Oryza sativa Japonica Group: one gene and its partners. The protein of the gene in region 3 interacts with the protein of the main gene of each other region in a pairwise test. Links are inferred from orthologs where the notes say so. Each region holds a gene or a part of one and is shown on either strand. Other genes may lie near its edges.

Region 1 (10,563 bases), about 230 kb from region 3:
TGTATCTTTCTAGCTATTAATAGCCCTCTGAAATCTTGTTATTTAGAAGTATTAAACGTAGATTACCGATAAAACTGATTTCATAACCCCTAGGCTATTTTGCGAGACGAATCTAATGATGTATATTAATCCATGATTAGTGGCTGCTTACTGTAACATCATTGTAGCAAATCATAGATTAATATACCTCGTTAGATTCGTCTCGCAAAATAGTCTAGAGGTTATGAAATGGGTTTTGTCAAAAATCTACGTTTAATAATCCCAAATAGCAAGATTCCGAAGGGCTATTAAATAGCCCTCCGGATCCAAGCAGGGCCATAGTAGTATGCACTAGTATTTCCTCTACGCTAAAAAAAATAACTTATCCTTATACAGCAAATTTTGTCTAGATTTCAAATTTATTATACTAGAAGGAGATTACATCCGTCCTAGCTAGATTGAGTTTTTTTTTTAACGTAGGAATTAGTATAGATTATAAAAACAATAGGAAAATCATAAAATAGGATAAAAACACGTAGGAAACACATGGACTCTTAAGGTAGAGTTGTAAAAACACGTGTTCAGACAGAATAAAATAAGAACATAGGAAATGAATAAAGATATTGGAGTGGATGTCAACTTTCCTTTGTTTATCTGTAGAAACCACATGAAAGGAACTTTTTTTCTTTTAGTTCTTCATGGGATCAAATCCCTTGAAACAAATGGTTCTACCGTCGTTGAATCCTTCATTTTTCTCAAATCCGAACGGGCCCTTTGATACTTCATACTAAAAGTGTGGTATTAGTATGAGTAGAGAGAGAGAGAGAGGGGAAGGCTGCTGCTAATATTGTCCGAAATGTTCACCCCGTGAGTGAAACGCAGGGCAGTGCTTACTGCTGGAGTGGGACTCGTGCCGTCCCTTTTGGAGTTGCCCGCCTTATCACCCAACTGATCGTGCTTTCCTGTTCAGTTTGAGGAGTAACATGCGGAGGAACTCACAGTAAATGGCACTCTTTTTATATACTCTCTCAGTTCCAAAATATAAATATTTTTAAACTTCGACGCAGTTTTTGAGATGCTACTTAATCAACAATATTTATAATGTAAAATATTTTAAATAAAAAGAGTTGCATATTATGATAGTTTGTTTAATGATAAATCTAGTAATATTAATTTTACGTAATTAACTTTTTTATTTTTTTTACTAGTAATAGTTAAAGGTAAAAATATTTGACTTACCACTATGCTAAAAATGCTTGTATTTTAAGATGGAGGGAGTAATGTTTATTGGTTTATTTGCCCACAAGATGAACAGTTGAACGCGCACTCATCATTTCTTCGTGGAATATTTTGTCACTATGAATTACTATTTGATAAATATCATTTGGTTTTAAACTGCTCCTTAATTAATTTCACAAACACTGGTACCAATGTGATATCATGTCGTGATAGCAAAACCAGGTGTTTCACGGGGAGCCAAAAGTGAGATGAGTGTGACATGTTGTAGGGTTCTCCTTGACTTCCTTTCTTTCCACCTGCTGGCGTAATATAGTACTCTTTGAATTATACATAAGCTAAAATTTAAATTTTAAGTTTAATTTTAAAGTTAATTTTAAGCTATTTTCAATGTAATTTTTTATGTTAACTTTTAAATTACTACGAACAAACATATAAAAGTCTTACCTACAAACTAAATTTTATTTTCTAATAAATTGTTTTAACTGATTACTACGTACTTCCTGTATACTTCATTCTTCAAAAAAAAAAAACTCAACCTAATACTTGTATACTAGGACATAATCTACTACGTACAGTGAATCTGGAGAGGCTGCCTCCCTCTATCCCATCCAAATACAAGAAGAATCTTAAAACTTTTTTTACCAAACGTAACACCCAGAGCACGCAGTAAAGTGCGGGTAACTACCGCCTGGGGGAGGAGAAGGTCAGGTCAGACAGGGCGATTTTTCTTTTTTCTTTTTAACCTCTGGGGTGAGGTCGCTGAGTCAGATGACGCAACACCAGCCATTGGGCTCTGCGTGCAGGTCGTCAGTCAGCTACACTGGCTATGCATTGCATTGCATGAGAGGGCGTGTGAGATGGCAACAGCAACAGCATGTGTCTGCAGTGACTGCGTGCAGCGTGCGGGGGCACAGGCTGTATGTAGCCTGGCTGTAAAAATAAAAAAAAAAAGTTGTTGTTTTGGTGTGTAGCGGAGCGGCGGTGTGGCTAGCGGTGAAAAAACCGAGCGCGTACGACAAAAAGAGGTGAAAATCTCTCTCTCCCCAAGCGTGTTGGCGCTGAGTTGGAGTTGGCGGTTGGTTTGGGGGTTGGGGTTGGGCCGTGTTGGGTTGGTTTTGCGGCGCGGGACGGGTATGCCGTAGTATGCGTTATGCCGTGCCGTCCCTCTTGACAGGCCTTGTGGTTAGCCCCGGACCCTGCCAAATTCACGGTGCAAACCCAATTACCAGTGTAATATGGTTTCTCCCATTTGGAAACTAGTTTACCCTCCACGTGTTGTGGAATTTTATACATTGAATTAGACCGCTAGGACATACACTCACCGTTCAAAAAAACCAAAAAAAAAACAACATAAGGTTCATTGGACTTTGTATATTTATTGTTCTAAGATATGTCACATTTTATCATAGGTTATTTTTTTTAACGGATGGGGTAGCATTTTCTACTCTAGTCCTCATGTTTTTTTTTCTAAGTTTGTATAAAAAAGTAGACATTTTTTACTAAATGCCCAAAAAATTCAGAAATATATATAAAATTCCCCCCTTCTCCCTTCTATGGTACAAAGATCCCCAGATGTGTAGGCCTTTCCCTTTCTATGTGGCATCGACTCTGCACGACAAGGTCTGTAGTATATGGATAAGGAATGAGCTCCATGGCGGCATGGGGAATATGTAGCCGACGATGGTGGGCCTCACAACAACGTCTATGATAACATGCCCTTCTTCTCCCCTCTAATGTGATCATTATCACTTTCCCAATCGTGTTGGTCACGTTGCCGCTTTCTTTTCAATTTGGTTGATGCCACTTAGACTCATGGGATGGGGTAGGAGGAGGACAAGGAATTAAATATGTTTTGGGGACGCAATTTTAACAATGTGTGTATGTGTCATTCGGTCGAGCACAGATTTCACGTCACGTACGTGTAAGCCGTAGCCTAGCAAGGAACGTAGAGAAAATAAGGGACACCCATTCTTGGGCGAAACGAGGTTGTGCAACATGGGAGAGAGGAGTCCGACCTCAATGTGAAGGTCCTATCCTCGACATTAGTTGCTTTCCATTCATGCCAACTTATTCTGTGGACTCTACTTATGGTTAGATTGCACAATGAGACTTGTGTCCTTCTATGGCCTTGGGTCTAACTGACAAGTGAGGCCCAACAAATATCGAGCCTTCATTGGTACTACCCTCTCCCTCGTATTTCGTGTGCACGCTTTTCAAATTGCTAAACGGTGTTTTTTTTTTTAAAAAAAGTTTCTATACGAAAGTTACTTAAAAAATCATATTATTGATCTATTTTTGAAAAAAACAAATATTTAATAATTCACGCACTAATGAACCGCTCCGTTTTCCGTGTATACTGTGTGGGTTGGTATCACGTACTTCCGAACACAGCCTAACACAGCTGCCATCCATGTCCTGGCTACTGAGCAAGAGTTGCCTCAGCCCTGTTGAAACTTGAAAGGCAACCATGCTCTCTTCAAAGCAATGAAAAAGTCTCATGGGGACATGGATGTAGCCGAGCTACAGGCAAAGCTTCGACATGGCGAGTCCGAGCTAAGCTACTCATCACTTCAAAGTAATGTGAATGCTTTAACAGTTTTGCTCCGTTTGAAAATGCAGTTGTCTCTATGAAATTAAGTCTAATGGTTAAATATAACTTTTAGGGGTGTTTTGCTTCTGCACCTTACCTTTTTTTTTCAGTGCCAAAATATTAGCCAATTTTGGCCCTACTACTTTTGCGGTAGGGTATAAGTTATATTGACCATGATTAGCTTATTAATGTAAAGTTAAAGTAATTGTTAATCCTTATCCTGGTCAAGTAACTGCAACAAGATAAAAATGAAATCGATGTGGCCCAATTTATACGATCTTAAAGAATGTAACTCCAGTTTATCTCTGGAGATTTTCTCTCTCAAAAAAAAGTTTATCTCTGGAGAGAGCCAGCGAGGAAAAAAATTGATGAATTGCAGGCAAGACTCTATAAGGAGGATCCATTTCGCGATAACTTTGGGTGTTTACCACCATCAACAACTCTGATTAGAATGGAATTAACGTTCTTCTTTTCTTTTTCCCAGTTGTATTTTGTATTTCCATGTGTCGTATGGAGGCTACATATATAGCACATCTGTACAAACAAGCCACGCCGTCTCCTGTTGGAATTCTTCTCTGTACTCGTGACCGACGAGTTCTTCGACACAGAATCTGCTGTTGTTTTAGTACTCCAAAAATCTATCCTGCCCACAAGCTCATCAGATCATGCAGTCCCTGAACTTGAAAATTGCCGTGTTGACAACCATTGTTAAACCCTGAACATGACATATCAACCCAGACATAAATACTCTTCGAGCGTGCAGCCATAATTTTGTTTTATTTTTTTTTGACAACCTGCCTATACGAATCAGGCTTTATTAATTTTATCTTTTTTCCCCTATGTGTGGTGGTGGTCCCAATTCTTTAATGTGCAGGTGTCCAAGTATAGAAAGTTACTGAGCTTTTATGGTAGGTGTGGTAAAAAGTTGCATGGTAAAAACGATCCACTAAATTAAACTTTGTCACCAAAACTGAAGAAAAAAAAACTGAAGAGAAAATCTCTGCAACTGGTTCACCCTCTTTTTAAAGAACTCCACTCCAAAACCAACGAGCAAAGCGAAAGGAGGAGACGGCCAACCAAAACCCTCCTCCTCTCATCATCGCCCAAAACCCCCCAAGAAACCAGAAAGAAACCTCTCCTGCTCCTCTCTCTCTCTTTTCACCGGCAGAGGGAGAGGAAGTGGAGAGACAGAGAGGAAGAAGCAGAGGGAAGAAAAGAAAAGGAAGGAGTTTGCTGCAGCTGTGAGGAGTAGAGGAGGGGGGAAGGGTATAAAGGTTTTTGATTGGAATGCAGCAGCAACACCTGATGCAGATGAACCAGGGCATGATGGGGGGATATGCTTCCCCTACCACCGTCACCACTGATCTCATTCAGCAGGTCATGATCCCCTCTCCCCAAAATCTCTCCCATTTTATCGTCTGTTTGTCTCTCTCTTGTTTTTCATTTCTTGCTTTTTGTTTTTGGTTCCGTGATCTCTCTTCTTTCCTTTCTTTTTTTTTCTCTTGAATCATTTGTATCAAACTCTTTTTTTCTTCGTTCTTGATTCGTTGGTTGGTCTGTGAGTATCTGAAAAAGAAGTTTTATCTTTTCTTGTGTTCCCCTTTTCTATTTCATTATGCGTTTATGCTCATGCTATCTTTCTTGTTTGCTCGTGGTTGTTGATCCTCTTTTGTATCCATTGAAACATCTGGCAAAAAAAAATCTGAAATGAACTAAAGTTTCCCTTCTTTTTTTTTTCTCTGTTCTTACATCTTGTTCATCTGATCTATTTCGCTTTCTCCGTTAATTCCCAACATGATTTGTCGAACAACACGTTTTTTCCATCATATTTAAAAAATAGTTCTAGGGCAGCCTTTTTTTTCTTTATTTTGTTTGGTCAAATAGAAAGGGCATGATCCTCTTATATTCATGATGTTGATTTATCTTCTCGTCCTCTAGTCTTCTCCCTGTATTCTCATGTCTTCAAACATGGTCCCTCACATCTGATTTCCTCTGCAGTTCAAACTGTTGCTGTCCATTTGGTCCTTTTTTTTTCTTTTCTTTTGCTCTTGCTGCTCACATAGTCACATGATGCGGTGATTTTTTACATATCCTTTATCCCCCTCTCCATCTAAATCCTATTTTTAGCTTGTTTTGGTTGGTGACTTGTGCCAATGGTCGTGTCTCCCCCACCACTCGTATTTGGCAACTAGTAAACATGCCAGACCTGTTCCCTGCATCTGCCATTGCAGACCACCAATAAATCTTGGCCCCCTTTCCATGTAAATGTATCATGTGCAATCGTCCAACAAAAGGGAGCAAGAAATGCTGTGAGATTTACATAAATATCTCCTTTCCATATCCGAAATCCAATTTGCAATCTTTGATTTAAAAAATATTTCTTTTTTCTTCAGAAGGACATACCATACAAGATCTGGTCCTTGTTCATGTTGGTGAGAAACTGGGAATGTAGGTTGGCTTGTGCTGTACTAGAATGCCACAGGTTGCAGTTTTGACTGTTAGACCCCTAAAAGATGTGAGCTTTATGGCTAAAGGCCGATATAACAACCAGGGGCCCGGTCTGCTTGGCCTATTCTTTGATAACCTGCTTGCATGCTATCGTGCCAGTTCATGATTGGTCCTCAGTTTGAGATGATAGGCTGGCAATCAGATCTTGTGTGGTTCTGCTCTAGAATCAGGACGCCAATCTCCAGTCTAGTACTTCATTGGTGCTAGGAGTATATTCATGCATATGTCATTGGTGATAAACTGATAGTACCAACCAAATCTTGTGCAATGAACTGCAATATATTCAAGGCATGCATGCAGTACTATCTTTTGTTAGTATTGATGATAAAGACTTTGAAATGTAATGACGTATTAACATGCAAAGATTCAACCTTGAAACTGTGCAGTATCTGGATGAGAACAAGCAGCTGATCCTGGCCATCCTTGACAACCAGAACAATGGGAAGGTGGAAGAGTGCGCTCGGTGAGTTTGATCTTGATCTCCCTGTTATCATGGAGTGCTGTGAAAACTCTGAAGTTGCTGTTCTTTCTGTAGCTTTTGCTCTATCAGAGATGTCTTGTTTGGTAATATAGTCTTTAGGCTTTGTTAACTGCAAAAGGAATGTCTAGCTTTTGTTCAGTCAGGGTTCAAGAAACTAGAATCTACTAGGAGTATTCTGGATAAATCAACTAATCAAGTAGTACAATGTTCTTTGGTGAAATATTCCATTAGGTGTTACAGGTGATTCCACAATGATGGTTGAATTAGTGTTAACTCATGGGCAGGTTAATACTATACCTAGCACCCTCCTGTTAAATAAATTATTAGTGAGTGGCTTGTACTAGAAAAGTACTGTTCCTTGTTCAGTGCACTATTTCTGTTGTGTGTATTGTCAATGTCACAGAACAGTTTGCTGCCATCCTCCACAGTATCTTTTCCAGCCACCGCACAGAAGCAAACTCGATCCAAAGCCTCCTCATTTTTCAATCATCATCATGTCACGTAGTAGTAGTAATACGAGTTGCATGCATGTTCATGTGCATACGCTCTCCTGTTGTTCACTGCTGCTGCTATCTTTCTTGGATTGTACCGGGAAGGGAACACATCAGTTTGGAGCTTTGCATCGACTGAGCAATCCACCCACGTTTTCGCTTGCGGCGCGGCGTTTTGCATTTGCCCTACAGGCAGCTCACAAGCTGACCATCCTCGCGTGTCTGTCGCTGCAGGAACCAAGCTAAGCTCCAGCACAATCTCATGTACCTCGCCGCCATCGCCGACAGCCAGCCGCCGCAGACGGCCGCCATGTCCCAGGTAATTGTGCTGCTGGCGATGATCAGTGAGTCGTGTTTGTTGGTGTTTGATTTGAGGATGAGTGAAGTCATCAATGGCGGCTGCATTGTGCATGGATGCAGTATCCGTCGAACCTGATGATGCAGTCCGGGGCGAGGTACATGCCGCAGCAGTCGGCGCAGATGATGGCGCCGCAGTCGCTGATGGCGGCGAGGTCTTCGATGATGTACGCGCAGCCGGCGCTGTCGCCGCTCCAGCAGCAGCAGCAGCAGCAGGCGGCGGCGGCGCACGGGCAGCTGGGCATGGGCTCGGGGGGCACCACCAGCGGGTTCAGCATCCTCCACGGCGAGGCCAGCATGGGCGGCGGCGGCGGCGGCGGTGGCGCCGGTAACAGCATGATGAACGCCGGCGTGTTCTCCGACTTCGGACGCGGCGGCGGCGGCGGCGGCAAGGAGGGGTCCACCTCGCTGTCCGTCGACGTCCGGGGCGCCAACTCCGGCGCCCAGAGCGGCGACGGGGAGTACCTCAAGGGCACCGAGGAGGAAGGCAGCTAGGTGGTTTAACTTAGCTATAGCTAAGCTAGGCAGCTAGGTAGCCCATGAGGAGGGTAGCACCGTGGTAGTAGCAGTAGTAGCTAGGAGACGGCGGCAATGGCGGTGACGGTGACGGCGATGTCGGTGGCGGTGGTGGCTAAGGTTTAGGTTTGGTAGGTCGATCCATGGAACCTGTGTGGTGGTGGTGGCCTGATGCATGTTGCATTTGGTATCATGCAGAAGTCTCACTTGTTTTGGAAAACGGATTGGCAGGTTCGTCTAATTAAGATGTGTTATTAGTAAGGGAATATATGTGTGTGTTGCTGCACTGCAATGGATGGGTTGGTTGGTTTGCGAAATCTCCCCGTGCTGCTGAATGCGATCTCTTTGGGGACATCCGATGTTGTGCTGAATCAACTGATCTATACAGCAGTGCTTTTGCTGCGTTGCCTTGCATCAACTGAGCTCTTGCATTGCATTAACTGATCTATACACATTAGTACTCGGTACTAGGTGAGTTGCAACATTTAGCTGTGTGCCGTGAGCGAGATGGAGCGAGCGAGGCAATGGCTCCGAAGTGAGTGAGTCAAGAGAGAACGACGTACGTGTAGTGTTTGATGGCAAGGGCAAAAGAAGACTAGACGAGGGGAGTAGTTCATCTGGGCCATCTGGCGACAGGACACAGGTTAAGATGGCTGGGCGGAGGACTCGTCGGAGTGGAGGAAGAGGAGAGGGGTTGAAACAGAGATAGTGGTGCCGCGTGGGTCGGGTTGGGTTCAAGCGAAGCAAGAACATGCATGACCACCTGCCCGTGCCCAATACTTCCAGAGCCCCACTACGGTGCTCTCTACTCTCGACAATAGCCTCTGCTGCATGGATCACTGGCGGTGACGACGGGAGGAGAACGACGTCAACGGCGGCGGCGACGGGAGGATGACGCCAACGACGGCGGCGATGGCTGGAGGATGAGGACGATGGTGGTGGCGACGGGAGGTCGAGGACAACGACGGCGACAGCGACGAGAGGATTTTAATTAGGGTCAGGGTTTCAGTGTAGTTTTCAATTTTCTGAAATTTTATTTTTTTTCGTGATTTTTTTCTTTTTCGCATGTGGTCCGCTTAAGCGCCCGGATTTTCACATGCGCTGGCCGCATGAAAAAAAAAATCCTATTTTTACTGACCTTTGGATGCATGCGGGTCATCCTTCTGCATGCAAAAATTGATTTCGGTCGAATGAAAAATTCTAATATGTAGTAGTGCATTGCATGTGTGATGGATATGTGGGCCCGGGCCTCACATTCATTGTTACAAACGATAGTATTTTCTAACTCATGCATGTATCCTCTAAATTTGAAAAGAAAATAGGAGTAGGAAAATAACATCACTACTATCCACTGTATAAATAATTTCAGAAGTATGTGATAAAAATGAGAGGAGAATATTTTACTAAAAAAAAGAAGAGATCAATTGTTAGAATAATACAAAATGCCCCATATATTTTGGAAGGCATAATTGCTTTATTTATGGTGGCCGCAATCTTTCATATGCAATACCTTGCTCTAGCATCAATGGTGGAGTCACCGCCCAGCTAGCCCGGACGGCCACCGGGGATCACTGGCGAGAACACCATTAAATTTTAATATTGATAAGTAAATTGATGATGAAATTTCTATAGTAAATACTAGTTATACTGAAGTTTGCTCGGGCTAAAATTTTTTTCTTACTATCATTGTCCGGCATCATGGATTCGAAAATACATTTTGAGAGTTTAGTGACATAGATGATACACCTGCACAAATTTAGATATCGCTCGTGCCCTCCGCTGCGGAAGAAGGCCATCAAATGGTGGATGGGGCATCCAATGGTTCATGGCAGTTGACCGAATAAAAATCAGTCCATTGATGCAGCATAGTCGTTCATCAGGAAGATGAAATCTCTGGTAGTATCAAGAAAAAACGATGTTTCATCAAAAAGGGAAAAAAAAAAGGTTTGCACCGTCGGTTTGACAGTCCAGCAAAATCATGTATCATTGCAGGCCTCACATATGCAAATGCAATCGATAATCGCTGCGACATTTGGTTACGCGGCTGCGCTCGTGCTGCCCAAACAAAAAGCCCAATCCGCCAAATGGGTTTTTGGGCGTGATAACGGGAGGAGAGGCAGTCGTTCGTCACGAACGCGGCAGATCCAACGAGCCGAAGACGAAAACAAACGGGGCGCCGCGCCGGCATGTCGTGTGTGGGCCGCACGCCCGTGCCGGCCGCACCGGTAGTCGTCGAGTCCACAAGCGCCGAAGAAAACGAAAAGGAAAAAAAACGAGCCCTCCTCGGGTAATTGTCAGCAGCAGCAAACCAAAACAAAAGCAAAAACTAAAACAAATCGTCCTCCTCCGCTGGCCCACCCACACCCCCCTATCGATTCGCCCACACGCCGCGGATTCGGCAG
Region 2 (10,588 bases), on a different chromosome or scaffold from region 3:
GTTGTGCCTAGGCCTCTGCCTTGACACAGTGGGCCGGCTTGGCATAGCACGGTCCAACGATTAGGGAGTTAAAATAGACTTATTCCTTCCATATAGGCACGACCCAAAAGATGAGGGTGGCCAAATAAACTTATTCTAAGGCGGGAGCACGGTGGGCTTGCCATGCCTTCGGGCCGACACGACCAGAGTCTTATTGGGTCGTGCCTAGGCCGTTGGCACAACATGTGGGTAGGCATGGAACGACCCGTCGTGTGCCTGGTCATGCTCGGCCCGGGCGACCCATTTAGGGTGTGTTTTGGTTGGGCTTTTCAACCTGCTTTTGCTTTTGCCATCCAAAGGGCCCAAAAGCCATAGCTGCTTTTGCCCAAAGCCGACTTTTGTTCTAGTACAAATCAAAAGCACCTTTACCCCCTGCTTTCACCTGCTTTTGGTGGAAAAAATTACCCACCTCTGCCATTATGAAAAAAAAAACGGTTCGCTAATCTATTCCCGTCTCCTCTCGCTTCTCAAACGCATGCCGCAGTAGGGGTGGAGCGGCGCATCTAGGTTTGTGCGCCGCCCCTACCCTCTGGCCGGCCGATCGCCGCCCTCCCCGCCCGACGCCGTGCCGCCCTCCTCGCCCGACGCCAGCGGCGCCTCCTCCTCGCCCCACGCCGCACCCTTCTCCGACCACGCCCGACGCTGCGCCGCCTCCTCCCCGCCTGACGCCGCCTCCGCGCCCGGCTGGTGGTGTCACCGGTGCTGGCGCTGGCCAAGGTGGCGACAAGGCAGCTGGCGCTGCCTCCCTGCATGACATCGTTGTGCGCCTCACCGTCGCCGTACTACCACTCCCTGTGCCTCTCCTCCGCCTTCCTCGACCTCACACCCCGAGGCATGATGCCGGACTTATACGGCACCACCGCCGCCCACGAAGCTAACGACGAGCCGGCCACGAAGCTGACAACGAGCCTTCCTCGATCTCGCAGACCATGGAGCGGTGCCGGAGATCGATGTTTGGAGCAGCGCCTCGGTCCCCAACAGCGCGTCGCTCCTTGCGGACGAGGAGGAGCAGCCCCGACTGGCCTCGGTTGCCCACTCCGGCGAGCCGCCTTCCCACATGACATGTGTGGTCCACTCGTCAGGGGAGAAGCTTTTCCAAAAGCCACCTGTGTAACCAAATGAGCTTTTGGCTTTCTCACAGCTAATTTAGCTACTTTTCAAAATGTCACAGCCCACAGCTGCTTTTGCAAAAGCCACAGCCCAACCAAACACACCCTTAATCATCTATAGGCATAAGTTAACCACTTTTAATATAATGCTACTAGTATCCGAAAGAGGGGGGCACATGCCCCTTTTAACGCAGTATTATGGTTAGTCGTCTAGAAAAAGTGGTATAAGCCTATGCATATTATTTTGCACGGTAATCTTGTCATAATTTATTACTATGTTCCAACAGTTGTAGATTTCATATCTTAAATCCTTAGCTTTTAGTTGTGCAATAAAATTATTTATAAATTTTTTCATATTTTTGTTTATGATCGGCCCAATGTTCTTCTATTTTGTCTTCATTTGATGAAATAAAATTCAATGCTCAAAGCAAAAAGATTGCTCTTATATTTGATACATTTTCGCTAATCATAAAATAATCTGGATATACCATTCATGTCCCCTGAGATAAATCAAATGAGTGTTGGTGCATGTAACACTTGTTTATTCTCAATTTTCATCTATTAGATGCATGAGGCCGTAGATGCATGAGGCCGTGAGGGATGCTATGAAATTATTTCCAACTACAATAATAACTAGGAGATACCATAATAAGGTATGAATTATCGATTATACTCAAATGCTATTATATTTGGTTGAATGATTTTACATGTTTGGTCCTTCCTATTGAGGTGTTTTGAGTTTGTGCAACTAAATGAACTCTAATACGTTGGGAGTCACGTGATAGAGATTATGGCATGAAGGGTTGACTCTGAAAGTTTAGAAAAAATTGTGTGTATTTCTTGCAACATTTTCGGATAAGATAACATTTATAGTTTTCATATTGTTTTTATAATTTTTGAATTTACACTACAACAACTATAATATTTAGAAATTTTTGATAGATATATATTTCAAATAATCAAAATGGCTCTCAAAAAAATTAGTTCAATTCATATGCATTTCCTAGAGACACTTTGCAAATTGACATAAATATTTGTAGTTCATAGACATTTTAGATGCAATTCCGTTGCAATTTTTAATACATTCGTAAATTATTGATAGAGACATACTTTTTCCCTCTAGTTTCTAAAATGATTTTCCTAAGATATTCCCAGATAAATAAATCAAATTAATTAAAGACAAGAAGTTAACACCTCCATAAAAATTGTAAAATCTATCTTGTCAGATAGTCTACATCCTCGTCATATTGCTAAGGAGTTCCTTCTTCTCACTCTTGGGATCGAGATAAGTCGTTACATATTGCTATTGGCCCAATTAGAGGGGGCATATTGCCCCTTATGACCCAATAATATTTAATGGAGAGAAAAGAATGGGAGCACATGCCCCTGTTAACATAATGTTATTTTAATGTGGCTATTTGTTCATTCATTCATGTCATGTTAAATAGAAAAACAATAGGTATAGTAATTTATTACTAGCAAGGTGGAGCTCAATATAAATGGCAAAAGCACAAGATATATCTTATATGGTCTTGTAAAATGTTTGGTAGATAATTTGAATATAAAATGAAACATTTTAAAATGAAATTCATTCCTTGACTTACATATCATTTATATTAAAAATATTCCCTTTTATTGTATGTTGAATACCCTTCAGCTTTGGTATCATTCAGAGAAATCACAACCAACATGCATAGAAAGATAGTTGCATTGTTTTTAGATTATGATAGCACACTTTCACCAATCTTAATAGGTGAAAGCAGCAAGCTATCTCAATGGAGAATGAGCCACATCATCTAAAATATCAAGGACCATTGGATGTAACTGGTAAAAAAAACATCTTTGATCATATACTATTGTACCAATCAAGAGGCTCATGATCTATGAGAGTGGAATCCATTTGGAGCAATCAAGAAGCTTCTAGAACACCTTTGTTCTAATTTTTTAACACTATATTTGGTTAATTAATCAGCTGATCAAATAAAGAAAAATAAATAAATGAAGCCTCAACCTTGAATTCATATGGTATTTATTAACCTCTATGATTATCCATAATCAAGCAGTTTGTGGCAAGATTAACATGATGTTGGGTCCTACATATGCTTGACTCAATATTGAGTTTAAAAATATATCTATGTTTACGTGCGATTTCATATGTTTTCAAATTACACTGTAGGATACCAAGTGTTTGAAATTTATCCAAGGATTCATAAAGTACTATTTGCCCCCATGAATCTAACCTCTCATTAAAATTTATTTTCATCCTACTCTCAACTACCGTCTCAACTCCAACCATCCCTCGCTAAATGAGTAATATAAGTCTTTTTTACTCAACCTTAATATTTGTTTAAAAGCCTAAAAATCCTTATATTTGATGACAAAGGGAGTATTCTCACGGATCCACCCATGTAATTGTTAAGATCAATCGCCCACTCATATATATAGTTATGCTAGCGCTTGCACAAAGCGCGACTGAGAGAGAGTTTATGTTACCCGAGTTAAATTACATGAGCATGTAGCACACTTGGTAGTCCCACTGGAATTTGCTTATCCATATAACATTTGGTTATTTCAACACAAAATAAAACCATTTGATGTGTGAAGCCATGAGGAATGTTGCATGGTTCTACACTACTTTTGTTTTTAGTGGGAGAGGGGTCCCGTGAGAAGGTATTATTAAGCTACTACCCTTACTCTATTTTTTTAATGGTTGACAACTTTTTTCCACTTGAAAATATGTGACATAATAAACTTTGAGGTCTGAGATTGAATTTACTAGCAACAATTTTTTAATCTAAGGTCGAATTTATTATCCTCCTCTTACCTCCTCTTATCAAATATAGGTTACATATTGCTTGAGAGCTTTATATCTATGTCTAACGATGTAACTTACAAAGCTATCTAAGTGTGCTATTGTGTAACCCGCAATTGTAATCGGTGAACTTTATGTCCATATTTTCCTAAAAGATAATGAGTGACTACTATGTTGTAACTTGCACTCTTGAAGTTTGAAAAATTCAATTAACCTTGTATGTAAACCTCTGCGATGTTTAGAAAAAAGAAGAGACTACACCAACTAGTGACATAATTGATAGCCGTGTTAAAACAACATGATGATGTGTCCATAGACTCTAAAGATCATGCAAATCCCAAATGCAAACTAGAGTGCTATCCTTAACAACGGTAGAAATGATTTATATAGAAGTGAATACAAGATTATATAACTTTCATCATTAACAAAATTTGCCTTAACATAATGGTTATGGCTCTTGGTCAAGGACAAACCAGGATACAAATATTCCGTTTGAACCACCATCCAATTATGTTTGGATCATCAACTATAGTCACTCCAATAGGTCCATCATCTTTTCGCTAGGTGAGACTTATCCAAGCAATCTATTCAACTAGAGAAGCACTATAAGAAAAGACTATTACTATCTAGAACTCACATGTAACAAATTTAAAAATCATCATGCCATAACCAAACCTCATGTTTTTAGTGCACCAAACAACACTCAAGCGCTCATGGAATCAACATGGATTATTTAACCAAAAGTCGACCCCAAGATTTGCCAGAACCGAGGTGAGTGAAATATTAGGAGTGTTGGGTACAAATCAATTGACCATATTGCTAATATAGCTGGTTAGTTCGGAAAAAAGATGCTATGTCTTGGCAACGATAGCGCTGGATATTAATATATTTTTCTATAAAGTTGGTCAAAACTAGAAATTTTTTTTTGACTCAGAACATAACTAAAACACCTAAGAATTACAATATGTAACAGAACGGAGATAGTATTGGATTGAAATTAGAACTCAATAACAACATATTGAGATGAAAGCAAACACGTTCTTTTTCAATTTTTCCTACTCCAACTTTAGAGCAAGAGAGTAAAAGCACTAAATACATTGCATTGAAGTCATAAATGCACGCCTTCGCACACTAGAACTACAATTAACACACATGTACGTTTTCAATACGAATTAACGAAAATATTGCCCAATACAAATTTAACGAGGACACATATGATTTATTGCTCACTTCCGTCTACTTGTGTGCTAGAGGTTTGCACGCGTAATTAATCAATCAATAATATACCCTCTTCGTCCTTAAAAAAAACTTAATCCTAGCAACGAATCTAGACACAGATTCGTTGTTAGGATTGGATTCCTTTCGAGACGGAGTAGTAGTAATTATTAAAATCTTTTGAGCAAGAGGGGTATACTAGTAATTGCACCTAATCCTAGGAGGAGATGAAAAGGGAAAGCCTTCAAACCCCTCTCCTTCCAGATCCATTCGCGAGATTACTAGGGAGCGAATGTTCGCTCCATTGCTGTTCCCAAACCCTCCAAAGTCCAAACCCCTCTCCTCCTCCTCTCCAACGCCATAAACCACAGAGAGGGGGAGAAGAAGTGGAAGCGTGAGCCGCCGCAGCCGCACGCGATGCAGCAGCAGCCGATGCCGATGCCCGCGCAGGCGCCGCCGACGGCCGGAATCACCACCGAGCAGATCCAAAAGGTGCCTCCTTTGGGCCCACCCCCCCCCCCCCCCCCCCCTTTTCTCTTCCGGTTCTTGGCCCCGGTTCGGGTGCGCCGCCCTCGCTTCTTGGGAGGGTTTTTTTGGGGGGCAAAAGATTTGATCTCTTTTTTTATTTTTGCCCGGCCTCCTCGAATGGTGCTAGGTTTGCCAGCGTTCGATTCGATTAGGGGTGGGTTAGGGTCTTAGGGATATTGGATTGGTAAAGATTCTGGCTTTTTTGATTAGTTTCAACTTAGTTGATGTGATTTGAAGAGTATTTGACGGGCATTGGTTGAAGTTGGTGTTGTGAGCACCGCATGGTTGGCGTGCTCGTCATCTGACTCGATAAAGAACGACTCGTTTGGGTTATCCGGGCGGTAGAGTGATCTGTAATTATATGGTGATGATGTTGGTTTGATAGGAGATATGCTGACTTGTTCTCGGTTTATTGGAGAAGATGTATCATTTGTGATAAAAAAAAACTAAGTTATGAACACCTGGAGTACAACTTTTGACTAGATTGGGCTTGAATCTTTGCTTGTGTAGCTTATGTTTATTGATTGCAATATTTCTACTCGACATGGAACTATCCATCATCCATGACCACTCCAGCCGGAACTGAACTTATGTTTTTTTATGTGTTCTTTAGTATTCACATCATGACAGTCATCAGTCATTGTCTATAAAGTATTATTCTATGCCTGAAACATTTTCCTGCATTAATATCAACTTGGCACTTGTATGGAACCATTTCTTTGTCTTAGTGCGATTGTCCTGTTCTTTTGTAGAGTATGCTATTCTATAGCAGATTTTAGTTATGTTTCTGTTCGTGGATGACTGGGTTTATTGGGATTTGTTGAAGTACAGGTATACTCCAGTCCTTGTGGGCTTTAGATGTAGTTTAAAACTTACAACGGAGAAAAAAAAGTTATGTTAACTGACTTTCAACAATATCAACTTTCACTTAAATTCTTAAAGAAAAAACTCATCGCTTTGTTAGTTGATTTCTGTCTCGTTTGTTAATTTTCCAATCTTTCAGGCGTTGCTCTTTTCTTTTGGAGCTAATAGCTGTGATCACCTAGCAGTTCATGTCTTCATGTCTAAATGGCAGATTTGTATTGTGTGCTCCCACTAGATTCAGACATGCATGCTTTTTTCTTCTTAAGGCTGGTGATGCATATTCTGCTTAAATTGGGTCATGGTTTGCTCTCTTGTACTAGAATAAGCTAAAAATAGCGCACTAATGTCTCTCTGCTAAGATGAATAAAATAGCAGCTTGGGGCCGTTTTTTGAACCACTTTACTTTGCAATCCATATTATTAGGGTGCTCATGCTTATACAGGTCATATTCTGGCATACATTTTCACTTTGCATACTTGTCTGAATGATATTTTCCTTATTATACTTGGATTAATGCCCTGCACCTACTAGCATTGTAACTTGACTTTCAGATGACTAAATAATCTCTTGTGCTGACTTTAATCCTTATGTTTCCTGCAAACTGCATAAATTGTAATAGTGCATTTCTAAAATTACTATCTTGTTCCTTATATATTTCACATGGTTCGCCCATTTGCATTTACTGATTCTGTGGTTTCATTGTTGTAAATAACCATTTTCCCTTACAGTCTTAATTCATTTTTGCAGTATCTGGATGAAAACAAGCAGCTTATTTTGGCTATTTTGGAAAATCAGAATCTGGGAAAGTTGGCAGAATGTGCTCAGTATGTAAACGGTCTTTTATGAGATTTTACGTTATGACATGATCCTTTTTGTGTGTTAATATTAATTCATCCTGCTTAGTAGTCTCGTAATTGCATTGTTGAATAATTTCTCGTTAACATTAATATCTTCCTTTTTTGTTATCTACACTCAGTCCCTCACCATTAGTTAATTGTATACAATTATTCATTTATTGTGCTGCCGTATATAACAATGAAATTGCCACTCTGCTGTTGTTATTTCAAATTTGTGTTTATGCATTGAATAAACAAGCAACTGAAAACTGCTGCGATATCCAATGATATTTTGGCCTGGTTTCTTTCTCAGCCGTTAGGTTTAATATTTAGAAGATCTATGTAGCTCTTGTCACTGATGAAAGCATACCATGCTTGGATGGTTCAACACAGAATAAACAGTATTGCTAAACAGCAAAACATGGATCATTCAAGTATGGCTTTTTGTGCAGTACGAGTTATAAACTGCAGCTGAGTTCTTGTTTTGTACCATCTTGAGGCTTGAGCCACTATACAAAATTAATCCTAGAAGGGTCCTGGCATTGTGGCATATGCAAAGTTCATATGAACACTCTATGAACTGTAGACAGCAAATATGATAACATCTGTTTTTTAAATGATAATGTTTGATTAAATTTCTATTTTCAAACTTTTAGATGATATGTTAAATTGTTAATTATCTGACTATAATACTGTTTTTTGGTATCTAATTATATAAGTCAGGGTTTTTTTATGATAATTTTACTTAGATTTACATAGAGTATAGACCTTCATCTCCTGACTCTTCGGGACGTGTACTGGTGTGGATTTTGACACAATCCATGCACTACGGTGAACGAAGTATTACAGTGCTATACACTGAACACATATTGGCATACAATTTCGAATATAAACTGGTTGGTTCTCACATGACTAGTTTATGTAGCGTTGCCTATAGTGGTTCTTTATATTCAATGCAATAAAAGCATGTATTCGAAGACCGTGTATCTTTCAAAGAATATGCAAGATGTATCATCATTAGCAACTATATGTACATCCTCACTCTTCAGCCAATATATTCCATGTTTGATTTGCATCTTGTGTCTTCTGCTGCCCAAAGGATCAATTGCTTTTTTTTTGGGTGCAAACGAAGCAAATTACCAGCATGCTAAATACCTAGGAATTTCCACTTGCAATGGCTGAGTGTCAAGCTGGCAAGCATCATGTTAAAATTTATGAAATCTTATTTCATCTGGTGTCACTTGATATCTCCATAACCAACTGGGAAGTGGGAGGGAACTATCATGTTATGCCGTGATGATAAAGCCCGAATCACCCTTCATAATCCGTCGGAATAAAATTCAAGTTAAAGCAACATTCTGAAATAGCTCTAACTGTTAGTTCTATGTGGCAGATGATTATTCTCCTTGGTAAACATCAATGGAAAACAACACATTTGATCTTGCTAGGAACATGGAAATACATGCTTTGTGCAGCACCTAACAATTTTGAACTGTCAATATGCATTTTGTCATTTTAATTCCATGAAGTTAATTGTGTAAAATGATTCCTAGCTATTTGGTCTTACCCGTTTCTTTTTTTCTTTGACTTTAGATTGTAACCATGTTGGCTTTTGCCCTGTGACTGGCAAGAACAGTATTGCTGTCAACATAACATGAACAATATTTAGTATGCTATTAGTGCCATTAGCATGCATGCTATTACCTATGCACCATGCACGTCACCTGTGCACCCATGGAATGTGTCGCTAACTAGTCACCTACCGACCTCACATTTGTGTTTCTTTAGGAGTATTGGTGGTAATATGTGATAATTAATCCAATTTACTTTCCAAGTTCCCATTGCAGTGCTTGTATTAATGAATTTATTTTATATATGTGCTCACCTTGTTTCCATTTATGAATTATTAGGCGGGGCTTAATAAGTTAATATGTGATAATTAATCCAATTTACTTTCCTTTACACTTCATGTAGTTATGAATTTATTTGATATATTTACTGAAGATGCTCTTCATATTGCTAAACCTATTTGCCTATATGAATGTGACTATGGACTTCCTTCTGGAATAGATGGTGAGAAAATCATTTAATGATGGTAGTTTTATCCCCAATGATATTTTTCAGGTATCAAGCGCAGCTTCAGAAGAATCTCTTGTACTTGGCTGCAATTGCTGATACTCAACCGCAGACCACTATAAGCCGTCCCCAGGTTCGTAATATTCCATACATCTACACAACATCATTTGTTCTGCATATACTCATTTTATCTCCGCAAACAGATGGTGCCGCATGGTGCATCGCCGGGGTTAGGGGGGCAATACATGTCGCAGGTGCCAATGTTCCCCCCCAGGACCCCTCTAACGCCCCAGCAGATGCAGGAGCAGCAGCTGCAGCAACAGCAAGCCCAGCTGCTCTCGTTCGGCGGTCAGATGGTTATGAGGCCTGGCGTTGTGAATGGCATTCCTCAGCTTCTGCAAGGCGAAATGCACCGCGGAGCAGATCACCAGAACGCTGGCGGGGCCACCTCGGAGCCTTCCGAGAGCCACAGGAGCACCGGCACCGAAAATGACGGTGGAAGCGACTTCGGCGATCAATCCTAAGGGCTAAGTTGGCCTTTCAGGTCGCGACGAAAAACAAAAAAAAAACATGTAGGCAACGACTGAGTGGAGAGGGGATCATTCCTGTGCCCTTGAACGGTGAGTGGCCGTGATCTTCGCCTGATGATGGTCAGTGGTTGTTACATTTACCTGTGTTTTTGAGACTTTCAGTCTGGTACAAACGTAGATTGCTGCAAGGATTTGTGCTTTGGTTTTGACTCAGAATTAGGCTTGTAGCCTCTTCTGATCATGGTTCTTGGCCTCGTCCGATACTGTTGGCTGCTGGAATTTGTTGCCGGCTGGAGGAATAGACGGCGTTAGCACCTGGTGTTTTGTGGCTGAAGGTTGAGATTAGGAGGAAATTGCTATTGCATATACAGGAATAATTATACTCCAATACAGTTAATTGTACGGTACAAGGTACAGATAGATAGAGGATTAACAAATATCCATGCGACCCATGGATGTAGACAAAAAATTTTCACAAGATTTTAAAAGGTAAAATCTAATTAGTGCACTGTTTAGTCTAGACGCATATGATGCCGTTTTTCTCCGTTCGATCGGTTTCGGATGCGATGCTGGTGCAAG
Region 3 (10,588 bases):
ACCGCCCAGCAGATGAAGCGAGCAGACGAAGGCACGAAGCACCCTCGGATGTAGCGGCGGCGGTGCACTTTGCGCCCTACGCAATCCGTGGCCCAACGAATCATAAACGAGATTTTATGGAATAAGTTCATCTGAGATCCCTTAACTTAACATTCTCCTCCTTGAACCAAAAAATCAGATACAACAGGTCCCTCAACTGTCTAAAACGGTGCAATATGTTTGGACGGTGATTTTAGCTGTCGTGGCGCATACGTGGCTAATTTGACTCGGTCTTCATATGATATGACATTGACATCCAGATTTTATTGCGTTGTAAAGCTTTGACAATTGTGACCCGGCCCATACTACTGTTTGGGCTAAAATTTTACTTTTAGGGCTGATACGGCCCATTATATTTTTGGACTGACAATATTTGGGCAAATATGGACTACTACTTTCTTAATTCTTTGCACACGACGTCATGGCAGTAGTATCAATGTACACATGCACCGGCCACGTACGAGTACACGATCTGTCCTCAGTTGTGCACCCGTCTCCTCCCCGGCAGCACCGCCGGCAGGCGGGACAGGTCCAGCGTGGGGTGCGCCGGCGACTCGGCATAGCCGGCGACGGCGGGAAGAGGAGTGGCGCCCTGCAGCACGGTTACGGCACCGCCGTGCCTGCACGACATCACCCGTGCGTACCTCGCGCCCGACGCCCACCCGTTCCACATGCCGCACCCGCCGCGCGCGGCCGCCTTGGCTTTCTTCTTCTTCTTCTTGTTGCCGGCGCCGGCGCGGCCCTTGGTGCACGCCACGTAGGCGGCCAGGAACGGGTCATGCTGCTGAGGCGGCGGCGGCGCACGGATCCTCACCACCGCGCCATGCGGGCCCACCACGATCGTGGGCCCAACGTGCCACGCCGTGGGAACCCGGGTCCCACCACGCCCCTCGCGGTGGGCCCTGCACGGTGGCAGCGGCAACGGCAGCATCTTGTTGCCACCGTCGTCGTCGTCGTCGTCCGCCGCCACGTCGCGGCCGCGGCCGCGGCCTCGCACGAGCGCGTGCAGCGAGCCCGGCCCGTAGCCGCGTACGCCGCCGCCCGGTTTGATCAGCCGCCCCGCCGAGCCGTCGTCCTCGCACAGGAAGATCGGGTTCGCGGCAAACAGCGGCGGCGGCTGCACCTCCTGCTCGGCGGCCCGCCTGGTCCGGCGGCTCGTCGCCACGCCGCTCCTCCGGCTCATCTCGTGTTCTTCTCCCGTTTCACCGGCTCACTCCGATCGATCGATCGACGAGTTAAGTTTTTTACTAACGCCGTCGAGGTTTTTTATACGCGACGATCAAGTACTCAGCTCTCGTGCGACCGTGGCCGACCTTGGCACGTAATCTTTACCTTGGCATGTGAGCAAGGAGGCGTGGACGTGTCGTTGCTGTTCCTTTCGCGCCTCTTCACTCCGATGCCCACTGCTCCGCCCGTGAGATCGCTACGTGGTGCAGCGCGCACACGTACTCTGCAACGCCACACACAACGCGAGCGATCGACTCGGCTCGATCGACTACTGCTTTGGCATGCGTTGCGTTGCGTGATCGGCTCGGCGATTTCGGCGTCGGTTCAGGTCGTTTTCTGAATGGCGTTTGCAGTCGGTCTCGTGAACACAAGAACGTCCGTGAAATGCAGCCGCACTGTGACTCATGCGTAGTACTAGTACTGCGTTTTCTGGAAGACACAAGGCAGTGGTGTGAACCTGTACCTGATAGTGCGGCTAAGCTCACACTAATGCTGGGGCAAGTACGAAAACATTCGGATAGTATAAACACGGAAGCATTCTTTACCTGTACTGCTAGTACACACGAGTGCATTGCTTTTCAGTAATGTATTGCACGCGCGCGACTTTTGTCCAAACACAAGCTAGCGAGCACACGTGACGGGCAGGCAGGAAAAACGGGGAAACCCCTCTGTGTCAAAAATTTTCCCTTTCTGTGCCTCCAAACAAAACCAGTAATTTGCATCCAGCAGTGAACATTCTCCTTCAAATAATCAGAATAGGCATGAGAAACAAAGTAAAATAAGCACAAGAAAATGAAAAAAAAATAAAAATATTGACATGTCTAGCAGGTGAGCAATCAAGGAGTCACCCAGGTCAGCCCATTCCTGGAGGAAGAACACTACTATCATCTATCCATCCATGTGTGTGGTATGCAATGCATGGATCGCTTTTGAGTCTTCTGGGTGCATAAAAAGCAGGTGGCAAATGGCATCAGGGCTCTCATCTTGCACACCAGTGCAACTGCAAGCCTAGCTAGCTGCTATTGCTGCTGATGATGAATCATTCTACTGTAGGCTACTGTAGAGCAAATCATCAAAAGGGAGAAAACCACACAGTGCTTGCTTGCTGCCTGTGGTGGAGTAGAGGCTGGCCATGGATGCATGCATGCAGTGATGAACATTGGGTAGTTACACAAGCTAGAGGGAGGCTGGTCTCTTTTTGCAGGGCTTGGCAGCTGTTAAAAGAGGAAGAAAAGGCTGGTGGTGAATGGTCCTGAAATTTGTATCATTGTATTCTGGTGAGGCTGTTGGTTGGGAGTACAATCAGAACTGGATTAGACCACTAGTCCACTCTGTCAATAATAGTGGGAAAAGAAAGACCGCCCTCAGGCTCCAAAAAGCAATGCTAAACTATTTGGTCAGAATTTTGCACAGATTTAATCGCAAGGACCCCCCCCCCCCCCAAAAAAAAAAAAAAACCCCAATTGCCTCGTCCAAACTGACCTAACTATAGTTCTCATTTGTCTAGTTTAGTGACTGCAAACAAAGTAGAAGTACTATGCAAAACTAGTATACACCGAATATATGGTCCAATAATTGGGAGACAAACAGAACAGTCCGTACACGAAATACCAGTGAAACACTACACGAATGCCGCATGGACCAACTAAAATTACCAACAAGCATCAAGAAGTCAAGAGGAATACTTATATCAGCTCACAAACAATCCATTGAATACTACCAGAAAGCAAGACAAGGATCGGATTACATTCATCCGCGATTATGACGTCACAGCATGGGATATTTTAAGATGATATGCCACAATGGAGTACCAAATCCATCCATACCACACGTCATATCACGTCAAGATCCAAGGTGAAGGTTACAAAGCAAAGGAAAAATAACAGAGCAGAAATACCAAAAACACAAGATTAGTCTGAATGACAAAGCACCGAGGTAAATGCTCACACTTGAAGACGTCATAACGATATGTAACAAGGTGAAGACTGATTGAATCGTTTCCTCATGCCTGTCATCTTGTTGCATTTTTTGTTGATCAAGAAGCTCACACCAGGCGGATGCTCGGATGATTTACAACAACTGAACCGAGATCATCCCGCAGGTTACTGTTGCCATCATAAACACTATGATTCTCCAGTCTAGGACTGCTTCCGGTGCTACTGGATACTGATCCAAAGGTGGTCTTCTGCAGAACACCAACTGGGGATGAATCAAACCCTGAGCTTGAATCCCAGCCATCATTTAAAAGATTCAGAGACTCCGATAGGCAATTCCTTGCTTCCATGTTGTTATTCTTGGTTAAAACCTCTCCCAATGGTCCGCCCATCAAAGAATCACGGAACATAGGCATCCAGTTTGCTTCTCCCTGGTTAACCTCATCTCTATTTGCTGCAAAACCGAGACCAATAGGACTATATTCACGGCTCAGTTTAAGTGGTGACAACATCAGCTTCTCATGGATGGGAGATGTTGAGGCTGATGACAGGTCAGAAGACGCCATTGGAGCAGATATTGAGAGCTGGCTTCTCTGAGCTTGCATGTCTTCAGCATCAGGCCATGCGAGAGCTCCTTGTGCAGGTGTCCTTGGCCAGTCCACAAAGTGTTGAAGGGAAACTGAACTCTGTTGTTCATTCAGACTCTGCGAAGTGAGCAAATTGACGTTCTCCAAGGAGCTATGAGGAGAACTCATCAGTGAATCAGGTGATACTAGGCCAAAATCTGGCCTTGAGTTGGACACTTCAAAAGGATTATGTTGTTTTGAGAACGGAAACAGGCTGCCCGTATTTCTCGTGCTAATGGAAGTCAGCATCGAGAGACTGTCTGAGTCTTGCACTTGTTCACTCTCATTATGCTTGTTTGCCAGATCCCTGTAGAAGTTTGATCAACAAGTGATTCATTAGTGAAGTAGTTAATACAGCATATAGCAGTTGTTCCTTTAGTATGGCAGTTCTTCAACGGCCACTCTACTCACAAAACAAGTACCTTTAGGGCTACCAGAGTACATAGATGAGCAATGTAAATAATGGACTTGTTTAATTGCTGGTAAATGATTAATAGCTTATCTTTGGGGCTCATCTCCAATCATGGTAGCTAAATAAACTAGGTAACTAAATTACCTTCTATCTTTATTATTTGGTGGATGCCGGCAGGCAAATATGTACGGAAATGGAATATCCATGCAAAATGGCAAAAGCGAAACTTGACGTCTTGAGCTTAAGCATTGGCTACATGATTGACTAAAAGCAATATTTGGAGCTTGAAAGTGCTGCCAACATTCTACCTGCTATATTGCAGAGAGCAAGGATTGGCAGTGTTGGCAGCGTAGTTCTTCATTTGCTGGTGCTGATGGTTGATAGCGAGGCCAGCAACAGCTCCGCCACTGTGGGCGGCCGGAGCACTAGGCTGGGTAGCAGAGGCAGCGGCTGCTGCCACCGCCGCGGGCATCGCTTTCGCGGCATGGCCAGGCTGGCCTTCCACATGCTTTCTTGAACGGTGGCGTCCCCGGTTCATGTGTCGCTCACAGTACTTCTGGTCGGCGACCGCATCCCTCGAGCACCGCCATTTCTTGCCGTCCGTCCGGCGGCACCGGCCGGGCTCCGGATCCGCGCTGCCGGAGTAGCCCAGCTGGAAAGATCCCCATCCCACTGCAAAGCAAAAACCCAACCAAGGGCAATGCAACCAAGATCAGGGAATGGAACAGCTTTTATCATAAATATCAGTCCATGATGAAAGGAACTAAAGCCAAGAAAGCATTCGGTTGATCTGCTTCCTTTCCCATTTCTTGGCTTACATGTGCTTGAGCCAAAGTAGGCAGGTGAGTAGGGCGATGTGAGGCTCCTCCTGATGGGGATGAGGAGGCTGTGTGGTACAGGGCTATTCGCAGCCAAGTACTTGTATATCAGCGCCTGGTGCTCCAGCTCGATCCACTGAGACGGCGTGAAGGGACCCCTCACCCTGGCCATTGCACCCTGCATGCTGCTGCTCAAGCTCACTGAGCTCAATCCTGCAGCCAGATACACCAAGGAGATGAGCAACAAGCTAGGCAGTGCAAGCCAACAAGGCACAGCCAAAACACACATGTACTTTATAGAAGACGAGACGACGACCACCATCCAGATGCATGTGTTTCCTAAACACGATCCTTGTGCAAGATATAACATAGATAGGGGCAAGCAAAAGACACAAAAATCTGAAGCAAAGTGGCTGCAAGGATCAGAAGCAGCACGGATTTGTAGGTGGCGTGTGCATAAAAAGTCACCAACCAACCACATGTTCGATCCGTTGCAGCAAAGCTTGATTCGCGTTTGCCGCATTGTTTACTTGAAACCTTTCTTGCATGTTTTTATTTTTCCTACTTTAACCTTTCTTTCTTCCCTAGTGAGAAAAACGTAGTAGAAATAGTAGTGATATAATGCTAAAGATCACGACTTTTCTCATCCATATATGTGCTTTCTCCTTTAGTTTCGGCAAAAGGTATGACGAAAGAGAATACGCCCGATCCGCACCGATGAGGACAAGAAAGCGTTTGTGGATGTCACTGAAAAGAACAGGAAACTTATACTCCAGTATCAAGAAAAAATCAAGAACTAGTTTATACTCACACTCATCTATGCTAAAGATAATAAACTGGTCTATTTCAGAGGAAGTGAGCTATTCGCAGTCAGTGATCTAGTCAAAAGGAGACAAAAAAATGAGAAATATGAAACAAAAAAAATACAAGATGCAAATCCGAATCTAAACCACAATAGTAAAAGAACCAAGTGGGAAAAAAACAAAAACTAAAACTAAATCAGCTCCATCCCATCCCAGTGTGAGCAAGGATCAAGCATGATGCATAGCAACGAATAAAAAGGCAGAGAAGTAGCATAAAAAATGGAAAATAAATCTATAACAAAGAGAGATGAATCAAACAGCAATAATACTTGAAAAGGAGCAGAAAGCTTTTCAATCACCAAATCGAATCAGACGAGCAGAACAGAAAGAAGAAAAAAATAAAGGAAACGAAAAGATTTTTGCACCATCCTCACCTGAGCAAGAAGCAGGCGTGCCATAGTACAGCGGCATCGCCCCGCCAGCCGCCGCCGCAGCGGCCACGGCGGCGCCACCGCCGCCGGAGGAGCACGACGAGGCGGAGGACGAGAAGCTGAGCATCTGCTCCCCGCCATGGCCGGGGCTACATGACGCCCCGAGCAGGAACGGCGCCGCCACCTTGACCGCCTCGGACACCGCCGCCGCGGCCGCCACGGCGGCCGCGGCGGAGGACGCGTCCCCGCCCCTCGCCTGCTTCGCCGGCGGCCTCCATTCGTGCTCCTGGTCCCCCGCATTGCCCCTCCCGTGCTTCATCAGCCTAGATCCGAGCAACCCTCCCCCACCGAGCTCCCCGCCGCCACCCCCGTCCACCGCCGCCATCACCACCCCCACCCCGCCACCCAGGTCCATCCCCACCTCCTACCACTGCCCCCTCCTGCTCCCCCGCTCATCCGCCGCAGCCGCAGCTACCGGAGCAAGCGACCGCATCCCCCCCTCTCTCGCTGTGCGGGTTGTGGTGGCGCGCCGCGCGAGCGCGCGCGTGCTCTCGCGTCGCGTCGCGTCGCCGGTGGAATGGCGGATGCGTCGTCGTCGCGGGCGGCTCGTGTTCGGGAAACCGGGATGGTTTTCCTTTTGGGGGCAAAGGCTAGCCACAAGCCCCAAGTACTAGTAGTACAACACCCAGGGGTAAAAAGGGAAACTTGTTTGAAGATTTTTACTGCTACTGCTCCATATTTTTTTTAACCGAGTCATTTTACTGCTCTAACCACCGGCAAAATTGATGGTAAGGAGAGATCTTACTGTATAGCTGTGGCAGTAGTAAGTGGTACTGTAGCTGGTAAGATTTATTTGTCTGGGGGATTTTTTTTTTTACCTTTAATGTAGGGTGCCGGTATCTTTGCATTGTAAAGTTGCTCCAAATGCTACTAGATTCAACAACATTTATAAGAAGGATTATGATTCCTACCCAGAAGATTCAAAAGACATTATCTTTCCGAGAAGAAAGTACTACTGGAATAGCTAAGCCGAAACCACCATTTTGTCCTATAGATCAACCAGGACAAGCGTTGTGTTTGTGCAAGAGATGAACTGATAGATGTAACCGGTAGTTGACAATAGCAACAAGAGCAACTAACACCAACATTTGGTGGGTTCGATCGTTCTCCTCCCTACACATTGAACGGCAGGTACGTAGCATAGTGACACTGTGTGATATGCCGATAGCTTCATATCACTTATCTAGAGCTTATAATTGGTGTTAGATTCAGTTTTAGAAAATGAAATTTGGAGAAAGAGACGTCTCTAAAAAAAATTAAGAAGAAAATGTGAATGTATTGGGAACGGTATGGTACCTTGGAGTTAGAATCACACATCTCTTATCATTGCACTATGGAGTATATGTTAGTGTATATTTGTGTTAGATTCAGTTTTGATTGATATATGAGTTTGTTAGCTACTAGCTGCGTGCTTAGCTCCAGCCGCTCACTGGGCGTGGAAATTAGGCAATTAGCTGGTAAGTAAGTAGTAGTACTATCTTCCTGCGCTAATTAAGATATTAGGCCATGGAATCGCAGCCACGCGAGACGCACGTATGCATGGATCGATCGGTCCATATCTGTGTATATATATTTGTTGCGCACATGCACCTGAAATACCGTAGGCTAAGATCGCAGGAGTATCAATCATGGTTGAAGATTAGCACGCTAGACCACACGAGCAAAGCGGACGAGTCCTGGATCTCAAACAAGGTTAATGTGCAGTTTAGAGGAAATATATAACTTGAAGGGCCATTCAGTTTGGAAGATTTTGCACGGGAATCTTGGAGGAGTTAAACTGTTTTATGTTAAAAAAAACCTCTAAAATTTCTGCGTTCCGAAAAAGACCTAAATGCTCTATGACGAAGGGTTTGACAAAATAGTGCGGTGTAGTGGAATTAGTATGTTTTCAAGAAAAAGAAAAAGAAAAGGAAAGGAAATCACGAGGCAGCTCAGCTGGTTGATGTCTGAACCGTATAGCTAAAAAGTTAAATTTTAAAACTTAATTTTTAAAATTATTTATAGCTGTCTATTTTTCACCATATAAAAACTTGTAATATATATATATATATATATATATATATATATATATATATATATATATATATATATATATATATATATATATATATATATATATATATATATATATATAAAGTTGCGTCATATATTTCAACTGCAGCTTTACCGCCAGAGCCCATATTTCTAAACTCCTATATTTAGGTCATGAGCTTAAAATTTTAAGAAACAATTAGGCTGTGTTCGGGAGAAAGGGTTAGGAACCCCTCCTCCCCGGCATGCAAAACGATGTTTGCATTAATGTGTGATTAATTAATAGCTAATTTTTTTCAAAAATGGATCAATATGATTTTTTTAAGCAACTTTCATATAGAAAGCAGTTTGAAAAACATATGCGTGGAAAGCGAGAGTGGGGAGTTGTAAACTCTCAGCAAAGAATGCAGCCTCAGTATTTATTTATAAAGATTGGGTTTTCTAGCTTATGGTTACTATTTATTTTTCTAACCTTTACGACTATAGTTGATTTCAATCTAAGTTTGAATCTGAACCATCTTTCTTGATGAAGATTTTAAGTAGAAGTGGCCGTTGTTAAAAACTGCCCTTAATTTACAGAACCTAGCTTGCCGGGCGCCAAGGTGTGACAGGGATGGACCTGCAGGGACCCGATCGGAACACCGAACGGTTTCCACGCCCGTACGCTGTCCGCTTTTCGCCTCCGGTACGTTGCGTGCGTTCTCAATTTCTCCAACCTCTCGATCTTTGCCTTCTTTTGCCCGGACTCAGTAAAGACTCGGTAAATCAAGGCCGTAAAAAGAAGAGCTTTTGTATATCACCATATCACCTCCGTTCGCTCGCTGCAAGCTGCACGCGAGAGAGAATGTTCACCCAAACAGTAGGGGTAAACCGTGCTAGATCAGCTCAATTAACGGTAATCCCGCTGTGTTTGGCGGGCTACCTAACGCCCATTTCTACTGCAGATATATTCACTCTCATCGCACGAGAGTTACTGCCTCTATCATTCTACAATGATGGGATAATATTGTTATTTTTTTCCCAAGGCATTTCGATTTTTTTTTGTCTTTTTACTCTCCGTTATTTTTACCCCTAACACAATACATACTCCATAACCATTTTTCGATAAGTTTGAGGTGACAAACAATTATGATTGGTTAAATAAAACTAGATAAAAAACTAAATAAAAGATAGTTACGATTGATTATGATGGAGAATAGGTGAATAAGCACTTAAAAATGTTTATATTTTAAAAGAGATGATGTATTATTGATAAGAGTATATAATATATATGGAGTAAAAGTACTATGCTATATTATTACCGTGAGGTAAAACATCAGATGGAATTAAAAAACCAGTAGCATGACATAATCGTCACCCTTGGCATTAAAAACGTACACAATGGCACTATCTTCCAAAATAAATACTCGTGCAAACATATGCCAGTTGTTTGAAATGTCCCCCTTTCCCATCCAAATTAATTTACTACTGCCCATTTGTTTAGCCCTCCTCGATGTACTTAGGGCATTACAAAACCATCAAGTAGCAATATGCGTGGTCCAAGAGCACGGCTCCCTCACGTGCCTTCCCCCAAGCCATCACGAGCGGCTTAGTTTCTTAATAGCGAAAAAAATGTATAAGTATAGCTATAGTTAATTAACCTCTGCCTAATCGAGCTTTGTCACGGAGCTCTTTCTTTTTGGGCGGTCGTGATCTTGGTCAAAGAAATGGTAAGATTCTAGCAAGCTAGGGGGGGCCTCTCATAATGCTTATTAGCTTATATTAGCAATGAGATCGATCGATCCATGTATATATGGGTGGCATTGTACTTGTTTAGAGTTAACTTTAAGGTTACGCATAGATTAATTAGGTAGGCTTTGTAGGAGGGAATAAAATGGTCCCAAGTTGTTTGTGGTACAAATCTGGAATAGGTTTGCATTATGGTCTTCACAAAAGGCTAATTACTTGGCCTGAAAGATCCTTATTGTACAATTAGAGGAGATAATATATATTAAAAATATCAAACAAATAAAACAAATAAAACCAGACCTAAAAGTTTTCCAAATCCATGATAAAATTACTAAGTGATTGGTATAACCATAAACTACACTACCACGCTACGACTACATCTCAAGTCCAAACTCAACTTTACTTAGGAGAGGAAAAGGATAAAATTTAGATGACCAGGAATTTCACATGCTTTTACGTATTTGATGGTTAACACTGGA

Evidence for each region. The genes of interacting proteins can lie anywhere in the genome.
Region 1: the proteins of growth-regulating factor 6 (region 3) and GRF1-interacting factor 1 interact in binary tests that used the Arabidopsis thaliana proteins (3 or more experiments, as listed by UniProt). The link is inferred for Oryza sativa Japonica Group from reciprocal best matches to the Arabidopsis thaliana genes GRF1 and AN3.
Region 2: the proteins of growth-regulating factor 6 (region 3) and GRF1-interacting factor 3 interact in binary tests that used the Arabidopsis thaliana proteins (3 or more experiments, as listed by UniProt). The link is inferred for Oryza sativa Japonica Group from reciprocal best matches to the Arabidopsis thaliana genes GRF1 and GIF3.

The regions. Positions count from the first base shown.
Region 1 is NC_089037.1:30,925,444-30,936,006, reverse strand, and holds GRF1-interacting factor 1, read left to right. Parts: upstream 1-4,860; 5' UTR 4,861-5,095; coding exon 5,096-5,185; intron 5,186-6,702; coding exon 6,703-6,779; intron 6,780-7,522; coding exon 7,523-7,607; intron 7,608-7,708; coding exon 7,709-8,140; 3' UTR 8,141-8,577; downstream 8,578-10,563. UniProt on the Arabidopsis thaliana protein: Transcription coactivator that plays a role in the regulation of cell expansion in leaf and cotyledons tissues.
Region 2 is NC_089046.1:19,342,861-19,353,448, reverse strand, and holds GRF1-interacting factor 3, read left to right. Parts: upstream 1-5,437; 5' UTR 5,438-5,592; coding exon 5,593-5,667; intron 5,668-7,314; coding exon 7,315-7,391; intron 7,392-9,527; coding exon 9,528-9,612; intron 9,613-9,682; coding exon 9,683-10,003; 3' UTR 10,004-10,325; downstream 10,326-10,588. UniProt on the Arabidopsis thaliana protein: Transcription coactivator that plays a role in the regulation of cell expansion in leaf and cotyledons tissues.
Region 3 is NC_089037.1:30,699,376-30,709,963, reverse strand, and holds growth-regulating factor 6, read right to left. Parts: upstream 6,706-10,588; coding exon 6,294-6,705; intron 5,270-6,293; coding exon 5,057-5,269; intron 4,911-5,056; coding exon 4,547-4,910; intron 4,134-4,546; coding exon 3,311-4,133; 3' UTR 2,949-3,310; downstream 1-2,948. Other genes in the region: uncharacterized LOC4333991, read right to left, coding at 518-1,222. UniProt on the Arabidopsis thaliana protein: Transcription activator that plays a role in the regulation of cell expansion in leaf and cotyledons tissues.